Mus musculus: one gene and its partner. The protein of the gene in region 1 interacts with the protein of each later gene in a pairwise test. Links are inferred from orthologs where the notes say so. Each region holds a gene or a part of one and is shown on either strand. Other genes may lie near its edges. The genes, in order: Bptf and Maz.

Region 1 (3,902 bases):
TGCAGCCTTTGTTTACCCAAGAACTCTTGTGGCTTACTTTCTTTCCTTTGGTGTCTTATGAGGTCCCTGTGGGTAAGTTTACCACTCTCAGAGATCAACCAAAGTGAATACATAATAACTTAGTTGGCAATTAGTAATTTTCACTTCATTTCTATTCACCGAACTATATTGTAATAAGTCAGTTAGTTAGTGGGCTGAATCCTATTAACGATTTTTCTTCAAATTACTTTTTCTGTTCTCACATCTATTAATAATCACTCATATAGGTTCCTTAAACCTTTCTTTTCTTTCCAGAGTCCACCCCGAGGACCCTGTGTTGAGCCACCTCAATTTAGCAACATTTGGTGCATGTGCCTGCGATTTCACTTTAGTGACTAGCACCCTAGGTCAAACCAAGACTGGTAATTTGTCAGGTAGACATTATTTCCAGGTAACACAAACACATAACTTTGTGAAGCCAATTCTAGACAGGACGCCATCCTTCCTATCCTTAAGTTCTGGCTGAGGTGTGGAAGTTCGTAGCTGGGAAGAGAGAAAGGTGCCTGGAGGCCGCTAGGAACCACGCTCTGGAATTTAACCCCGGGCTCTGAGGGTGGGAACTCAGGAAAGTCAGTGAAACCACGCTGGGGGTGTGGCTCCCAGCGTGCATTCCTGGAACAACTTCAGGACCCTCTAGATCCAAGCCTTTGGGAGCTCTCTATTGGGACTGACTTAGCTCCAGCTCCTGTACCTGCGTGGGTGGCTTTGCGTAGTGACTGCCCCCAGTCTGTAAGTCGTGCCTCTACGCGAGACGCCCCTCTCCCCTTTTTTTGCATTAGTTTCCCAAAAGGACCGGCGACTTGGGAGGAAAATTCCCTGTTTTCCGGCCCCGGTTTGGGAGACACGCATTGAGGTCTCCCTAAGACCTCAGCTGAGGGGGAGGTGGTCTCCCAGGAGGAGACCCCAGCCTGGGGGGACACCCCACGCTACCCATCTCGCTCCTGCGCCGCCGCCGTGCAGCCGCGCAGGGGCGCTCCGGGGCCTCCCCGCCCCCGCCGCGCCGCTCCCGCGCTCCCCCTAGCGGCCGCCGCGCCGCCTCGCTCTGTCCCAGGCTCGTCGGGCGGCGCAGCTCACGTGACCGCGCTCCGGGCCTGCGGCCGCTGTCGGTTCCCCCAGTCACCGAGCGAGAGGGAAGAAACAAGATGGCGGCTGCAGGCGATCCGGAGCGGGGCCCCGGCAATTCGGACTGAGCCTTCTCCCTCCACCCCGCCGCTGCCGGGCCGCGCCCCTCCCGCCCGGACCCCGGCGCCCTCCCCTCCCCCTCGGCCCCGGCGCCCCCCGCGCCCCTCCCCCACCCCTTCCGCTCCCCCCCCACCCCCCCGCAAGCCGCGGCTCCGACATGAGGGGCCGGCGGGGCAGGCCGCCCAAGCAGCCCGCGGCTCCTGCTGCGGAGCGCTGCGCCCCGGCCCCGCCGCCGCCGCCGCCGCCGCCACCACCGCCGCCGCCACCGCCGCCGCCGCCGCCGCCCGCCTCCGGACCCATAGGGGGGCTGCGCTCGCGGCACCGCGGCAGCAGTCGGGGCAGGTGGGCCGCCGCCCAGGCTGAGGTGGCGCCCAAGACCCGGTTGAGCTCGCCCAGGGGGGGCGGCCGCAGGAAACAGCCGCCACCGCCACCGCCGGCCTCCGGCAGCAGCGCCAGCGGCCCGGGCCGGGGGGGCCGAGGAGGCGGGGGCGGCAGGACGGGGGGCGGGGGCGGCCACCTGGCCCGGACCACCCCGGCCCGCCGCGCCGTCAACAAAGTGGTGTACGATGACCACGAGAGTGACGACGACGACGAGGAGGAGGACATGGTCTCGGAGGAGGACGAGGAGGAGGAGGAGGATGGCGACGCCGAGGAGACCCAGGATTCCGAGGACGAGGAGGAAGATGACATGGAAGAAGACGACGATGACTCCGATTATCCGGAGGAGATGGAAGACGACGACGACGACGCTAGTTACTGCACGGAAAGCAGCTTCAGGAGCCATAGTACATACAGCAGCACTCCAGGTAACCACCCAGGCCGCCGGGAGACTCCTTCCCCACCTCCTCCCTCCCCCTGGCTTGCTCCCTCTCCAGTGCAGTGCATCCTGCTTCCTAGCTCCCCCCCCCCTTCCCGGCCTGTCCCCCACGCGGAGGCCACGGCGCGTCTAGTGACAAAAAAAAAAAAAAAAAAAGAAAAAAAAGACAAAAACAAAACTAGATTTGCAAGAGGAAAGAGGCGCATTGTTCAAAATGGAGATTGCATTGTTGCAGTTTGCAGGCCACAGACTCGTTCGCTCTTCTCCCCCCTCCCTCTTTATCCCCTTCAAAATTTGTGCCAAGTGCGGTGGCTCCACCAGGCAGGATTGAAACTTTGGCACACAAGTATCCATTGAGTTCGTCTTTCTCCCCTTGTTTTGGTACGAGTATTTTATTTATTTATTTTGCGATGAAAGAAGCCTCCTGCTTTGCAAACCGTTGCATGTCTAATACGTTTTGTTTTAGATTTAAAAGAAAAATTATCTGTTCCTTAAAAGAGAATTTCGATGGTGGTACCACACCTAGACGTTCTCCCTTTCCTACACCCTAGTTAGCTAGTTTGGTAACTGTTTTGGAGGAAGGATTGTTGTTCGGTGAGCTTGGGAGCTTCCTGGGGTCCTGAGCGCTTGTTTGTGTTCTTCGAGTGAGTACTCATGGTCGCGTGCAACAGTTGCTGGTAAATGCTGATTAAAGAGCAAAGCAGAAAACTAGACCAAACCAAGTTTGGCAATCCTTCCGATTTAAAAGTACTCTGGTTAAGTTCCAAATAAAAGTATAACACCACGGGGCCGTGTGTCCTAACCAGATTGATTTTGACTTTGCGTGGGAGATGGCAGTTTCGTGGCACCTGTTGCCGAAGATGTGTGGTTGATCATCTAGGCGCAATTGCCAAAGATGAACTTTTTGAAGTCACGGTATAGAAGTGTCAGATTGGACCCGACAGGACTTTTTCTTGTTATTCTGTTTCTGAGGAAAAAGCCCTTCCTGAATCAGCGGTGGGCTTCATCAGTAGTGGTGAATTCTCTGATGTTTTCTCGAATAATTTCTTGAGGTGGGTCCTGAGATGTGGGTCAAGTAAAAGGCACATGTGCAATTGCTCCTTTGTATTAAATGAATAGTTATGGGGGGGGGGGACCCTTAACTTGTAGCAACAGACTTTCAGGCTTTTTCTTAAGTTTTTATTCACCTGATTGATAAAATTAAGATCTAATTGTAAGGACATTTACAAAGTAAGTGAGGACATATGAGGGTTTTTCCTATGAGAGCCTGTCTACCGTTTTTCAGAGAAGATGAGGGTACTAGGAGTGGTTAAATTTAAGTGTTTTCATTTATAACTGCTTAAGATCCTAACTGCTGCAAGTATGAGAATTAAGCCAGATTAGATTGGTTAACACCAAGTGAAAAAAGCTAGTTTCCTTTGCCTGTCTTGAAGAAGGTTGCCTATTTTATGGGACCTGGAGGGAGGGGCTATCTTTTAGCAAGTTTAATTTCTTGCCAACTTAGTTTAGTGTGTCTTTTATAGTACTAGGTTTTACTTTAAGAAATTACGAGTTGGGCATCTGCATCAAGAGCTCAAAATTGAGCTGAAGACAGCAGTAGTGGAGGAAGTTAGTTTTTGAGTTAGGACTGAGGCATTTTGGCAGGGTAGTTCAGCTAACTTTTTAACTCCTTGAAGACCTGGCCAACAGTTCTGATGAACTGAAGACCATGAAAATGCTGAATTAAACTGCAATTTGTGGTTAGGGATTCTTTTTTTTTTTTTTTTTAATTTATTTATTTACATTGTATGTAAGTACACTGTAGCTGTCTTCAGACACTCCAGAAGTGGGCGTCAGATTTCGTTACGGATGGTTGTGAGCCACC
Region 2 (3,902 bases), on another chromosome or scaffold:
CCGTGCTGTGTCCACTCCCTTCCTAGTGTTGCTGTCCCACTAGGTGGAGGACTTGGAACAGGTGGAAGGCATCTCTGGGAAGCAGGTGGAGTCTTTCCTGAAGGTAAGGCCACCTTTGCCCTTTCTGCATGGTGTTCCCCCACCGCAGCCCACCTTAGGCTGCTATGCTAACGCACGTTCCTCTTCTTTACAGGCGAATCTCTTGAGCTTGGCCGCCAGCCAGCACAGCGGTCCCTCTTGACACTACCTTCTTTTAAAAATCCTTGTATAGTGACGTGTTGTGTAAATACAGTTTTTATTCCATGGTTGAGCCTGGTTTTTGAGGATGACAGGGCTGGGGTCAGAGTCCATAACTACCCTGGGGGTCAGGATCAAGCTCTGCAGGACACCCATGTAGGCGCCATCTTTGGGAAACCCCCAAACTAGGCCAAGATTGTAAATAAACCACTGGAATGGGGAGGGGACGGTGGCCTAGAAGAATCAAAAAGCTGACGCGAAAGCTTAAGCACAGCGACCGACCGTTAAGCGGGCACGCGCTCCAAGCTAGCCCCGCCCCGCTGTAACTCCCTCGGCGCGCTCCCCACTCTCCCGCTCAGCAACGACGTCCCTGTTATGTGCGCGTGCGCGCGAAATAACGGCCGCTGGCGGAGGGAAGTGGGGGGTGGAATCGTTCAAGTGGGGGAAGAGAAGCCGCCTAGTCTCCCGCGCGCCCACCACCTGCACCATCGCCAGCCAATCAGCAACCGTCTTGGGGGTCTCGCGCTCGGGGCGACCGGGGCTGCTGGGTGGCTCCCCAGTCCCTCCGCCCTCTAGAGTCCCTCCTGTCCCTCCCCCTCCCGCTGGCCCCGCGCGCACTCGCGCTCGCGCCCGCTCCAGCCTCTTGTGTGTCCTCGCGCCCCCCGCCCGCCCTCCGGCGCGCAGTGTGCGCCGCTCCCCCACCCTCCTCCCCCCTCCCTCCTTGCGCGCCTCCTCCTTGGGTCCCCCTCCCCCACAGCTGCCTCCTCCCGCCCCAGGGTGAGCGCGAGCCACCTCCCTCCTCCCTCCGCCATGGATCCCAGCAACTGGAGCAGCTTCATCTTCCAGGTAACAACCCCCGCCCCCCCCGCCCCTGCCCCCCCTCCCACACCCCCTCCTGCCCGCCCTCCCTCCTGTCCCACACCCCCTCCGCGCGCCCGGTGCGCGCGCAGCTGTCCCCCTCCCTCCCTCGCGCCCTCCCCCGCCCTCCCCGAGGCGCCGGCTGGGCGCGCGCGCGCGGCGGGGGCCGAAGCTGCTCCCTCGCTCCCCCCACCCCGCCCCGCCAGGCTCCAACCGCCGCCACCACCGCCGCCGCCGCCGCCCGGGCCCCCCGCCCCCGGCCCCGGCCCTCGGCCCCGCGGGGCCTCTCGCCCCCACCCAGGGGGCGTCGCCGCCGCCGCCGCGCTCCGCGCCCCACAAGACGCCCTCCTTCCCTCCCTCCCGCCGGCCGGGGTGCGCGGGCGGCGGGGCGGCCCTCGGGCCATGCGTTCGGCTCGGCCCAACCCGGCCGGCCGGGGGCGGCGCCCCGAGCCCGGGCCCCGCGCGGCCCGTGCCCCCGGCTCCCGCTGAGCTCCGGGGGCCCCCACTGTGGCCGAGGCCATGTTCCCCGTGTTCCCTTGCACGCTGCTGGCCCCCCCCTTCCCCGTGCTGGGCCTGGACTCCCGGGGGGTGGGCGGCCTCATGAACTCCTTCCCGCCACCTCAGGGTCACGCCCAGAACCCCCTGCAGGTCGGGGCTGAGCTCCAGTCCCGCTTCTTTGCCTCCCAGGGCTGCGCCCAGAGTCCATTCCAGGTGAGTAGGGGCCGGGCCGGGCGGGCAGGCGCCGACCAGCGACCGCGGCCCACACGGCGCCTTGTCTCCGCAGGCCGCGCCGGCGCCCCCACCCACGCCCCAGGCCCCGGCGGCCGAGCCCCTCCAAGTGGACTTGCTCCCGGTTCTCGCCGCCGCGCAGGAATCAGCCGCGGCGGCGGCGGCTGCTGCGGCGGCTGCCGCTGCAGTGGTTACTGCACCCCCGGCCCCTGCCGCCGCCTCCACAGTGGACACAGCGGCCCTGAAGCAGCCTCCGGCGCCTCCTCCGCCACCCCCTGCCGTCTCCGCACCAGCCGCCGAGGCCGCGCCCCCCGCCGCGGCCGCCACTATCGCAGCAGCGGCTGCCACCGCTGTCGTCGCCCCAACCTCGACGGTCGCCGTGGCCCCAGTTGCATCTGTCTTGGAGAAGAAGACAAAGAGCAAGGGGCCCTACATTTGCGCCCTGTGCGCCAAGGAGTTCAAGAACGGCTACAACCTCCGAAGGCACGAAGCCATCCACACGGGAGCCAAGGCTGGCCGGGTCCCTTCGGGTGCTATGAAGATGCCCACCATGGTGCCCCTGAGCCTCTTGAGTGTCCCCCAGCTGAGCGGGGCCAGCGGGGGTGGGGGAGAAGCCGGGGCTGGCGGCGGCACAGCCGCGGTGGCGGCCGGTGGCGTTGTGACCACGACTGCCTCTGGGAAGCGCATCCGGAAGAATCACGCCTGCGAGATGTGCGGCAAGGCCTTCCGCGACGTCTACCACCTGAACCGACATAAGCTGTCGCATTCGGACGAGAAGCCCTACCAGTGCCCTGTGTGCCAGCAGCGCTTCAAGCGCAAGGACCGCATGAGTTACCACGTGCGCTCACATGACGGCGCTGTGCACAAGCCCTACAACTGCTCCCACTGTGGCAAGAGCTTCTCCCGGTGTGCAGGGGCCTCGCTGCCCACTAGGCCGGTGGGGGGGAGGGCAACAAGGTGGCCTGTCTTTGGCTGGTGGGGAGGCGGCTCCCGTTCCTGGGGACAGGAACCACTCCCAGGGAGGAGGGAAGTTGCTAGGAACAGGGGGTGGTACTTTAGAAGAGGTGGGTCTCTGGGCTGAAGGAAAGCAGCCTCTGGGCAGAAGAGGAATCTTGGTTTGAGGGCTTTCCTGCCTGAGGACTGAAGCTGAGGGGGAAACGCTGGGACCTTTGCAGAGGCATTTTGGAGGAACCTAGGTAGATTTGAGGCACACCTTACCTTGGAGCCTAAGCCCTAACACACACCCCCTCCCACCTCAACATATCCCTAGGCCGGATCACCTCAACAGTCACGTCAGACAAGTGCACTCAACAGAGCGGCCCTTCAAATGTGAGGTAGGAAGCCAGCTTCCTCCTGTCCTGGTTTTCATGATTTTGATCCTCATTGTAGCTGTGTGGGTTCAGCCTCTCAGACCCCCTTTTTCTCTCTCTTTTTGCCTCTTCACTCCATTTTCACATTTCTCCTTCAAGGCCTGGTCATCTCACGCCCATTTCCTACAGATCAAAGACCCCCGAGACTCTGATCCCCTTATCTTGCTCCCTTCTCTCTACTCCCCGAAGCTTTAACTCTCCTGTGACCCCACACCCTCCCCCAGAAATGTGAGGCAGCTTTTGCTACGAAGGATCGCCTCCGAGCGCACACAGTCCGACACGAGGAGAAGGTGCCATGTCATGTCTGTGGCAAGATGCTGAGCTCGGCTTATATTTCCGACCACATGAAGGTGCACAGCCAGGGCCCTCACCATGTCTGTGAGCTCTGCAACAAAGGTACATGCTAAGGGGTGCCAGGAGGGCAGGGACTAAAAAGGGGGGCACAGAGCTGTTGGGTTTTTTTTCACCGATGTGGGTCAAGGGTGCTGCAGCTAAGAGCTTGTGGCGAGTAGAGAGAACTCTTTAAGGGGCAAGTACAACAGCATTGGAAACACCACCACTAAATTATGTGCCATGGTTCACAGGAGACCGTCTACCAGAAATTCAACCTCATGGGTGTGCTTGGGAGAATGAAGTGGGACGTGGTTACTTTGAGAAAGGAATAGCCAAAAAGCCAGTCCCAAGGGTTTCAACTTAGCAGCCACAAGC

Evidence for each region.
Region 2: the proteins of Bptf (region 1) and Maz interact in a two-hybrid assay, tested with the Homo sapiens proteins (2 studies listed by BioGRID). The link is inferred for Mus musculus from reciprocal best matches to the Homo sapiens genes BPTF and MAZ.

What each region holds. Positions count from the first base shown.
Region 1 is NC_000077.6:107,129,399-107,133,300, reverse strand, and holds the start of Bptf (nucleosome-remodeling factor subunit BPTF), read left to right. Parts: upstream 1-1,153; 5' UTR 1,154-1,378; coding exon 1,379-2,027; intron 2,028-3,902. UniProt on the Homo sapiens protein: Regulatory subunit of the ATP-dependent NURF-1 and NURF-5 ISWI chromatin remodeling complexes, which form ordered nucleosome arrays on chromatin and facilitate access to DNA during DNA-templated processes such as DNA replication, transcription, and repair.
Region 2 is NC_000073.6:127,024,132-127,028,033, reverse strand, and holds the start of Maz (myc-associated zinc finger protein), read left to right. Parts: upstream 1-1,554; 5' UTR 1,555-1,614; coding exon 1,615-1,806; intron 1,807-1,879; coding exon 1,880-2,730; intron 2,731-3,094; coding exon 3,095-3,158; intron 3,159-3,293; exon of another isoform or gene 3,294-3,418; coding exon 3,419-3,590; intron 3,591-3,902. Other genes in the region: kinesin-like protein KIF22, read left to right, coding at 44-241. UniProt on the Homo sapiens protein: Transcriptional regulator, potentially with dual roles in transcription initiation and termination.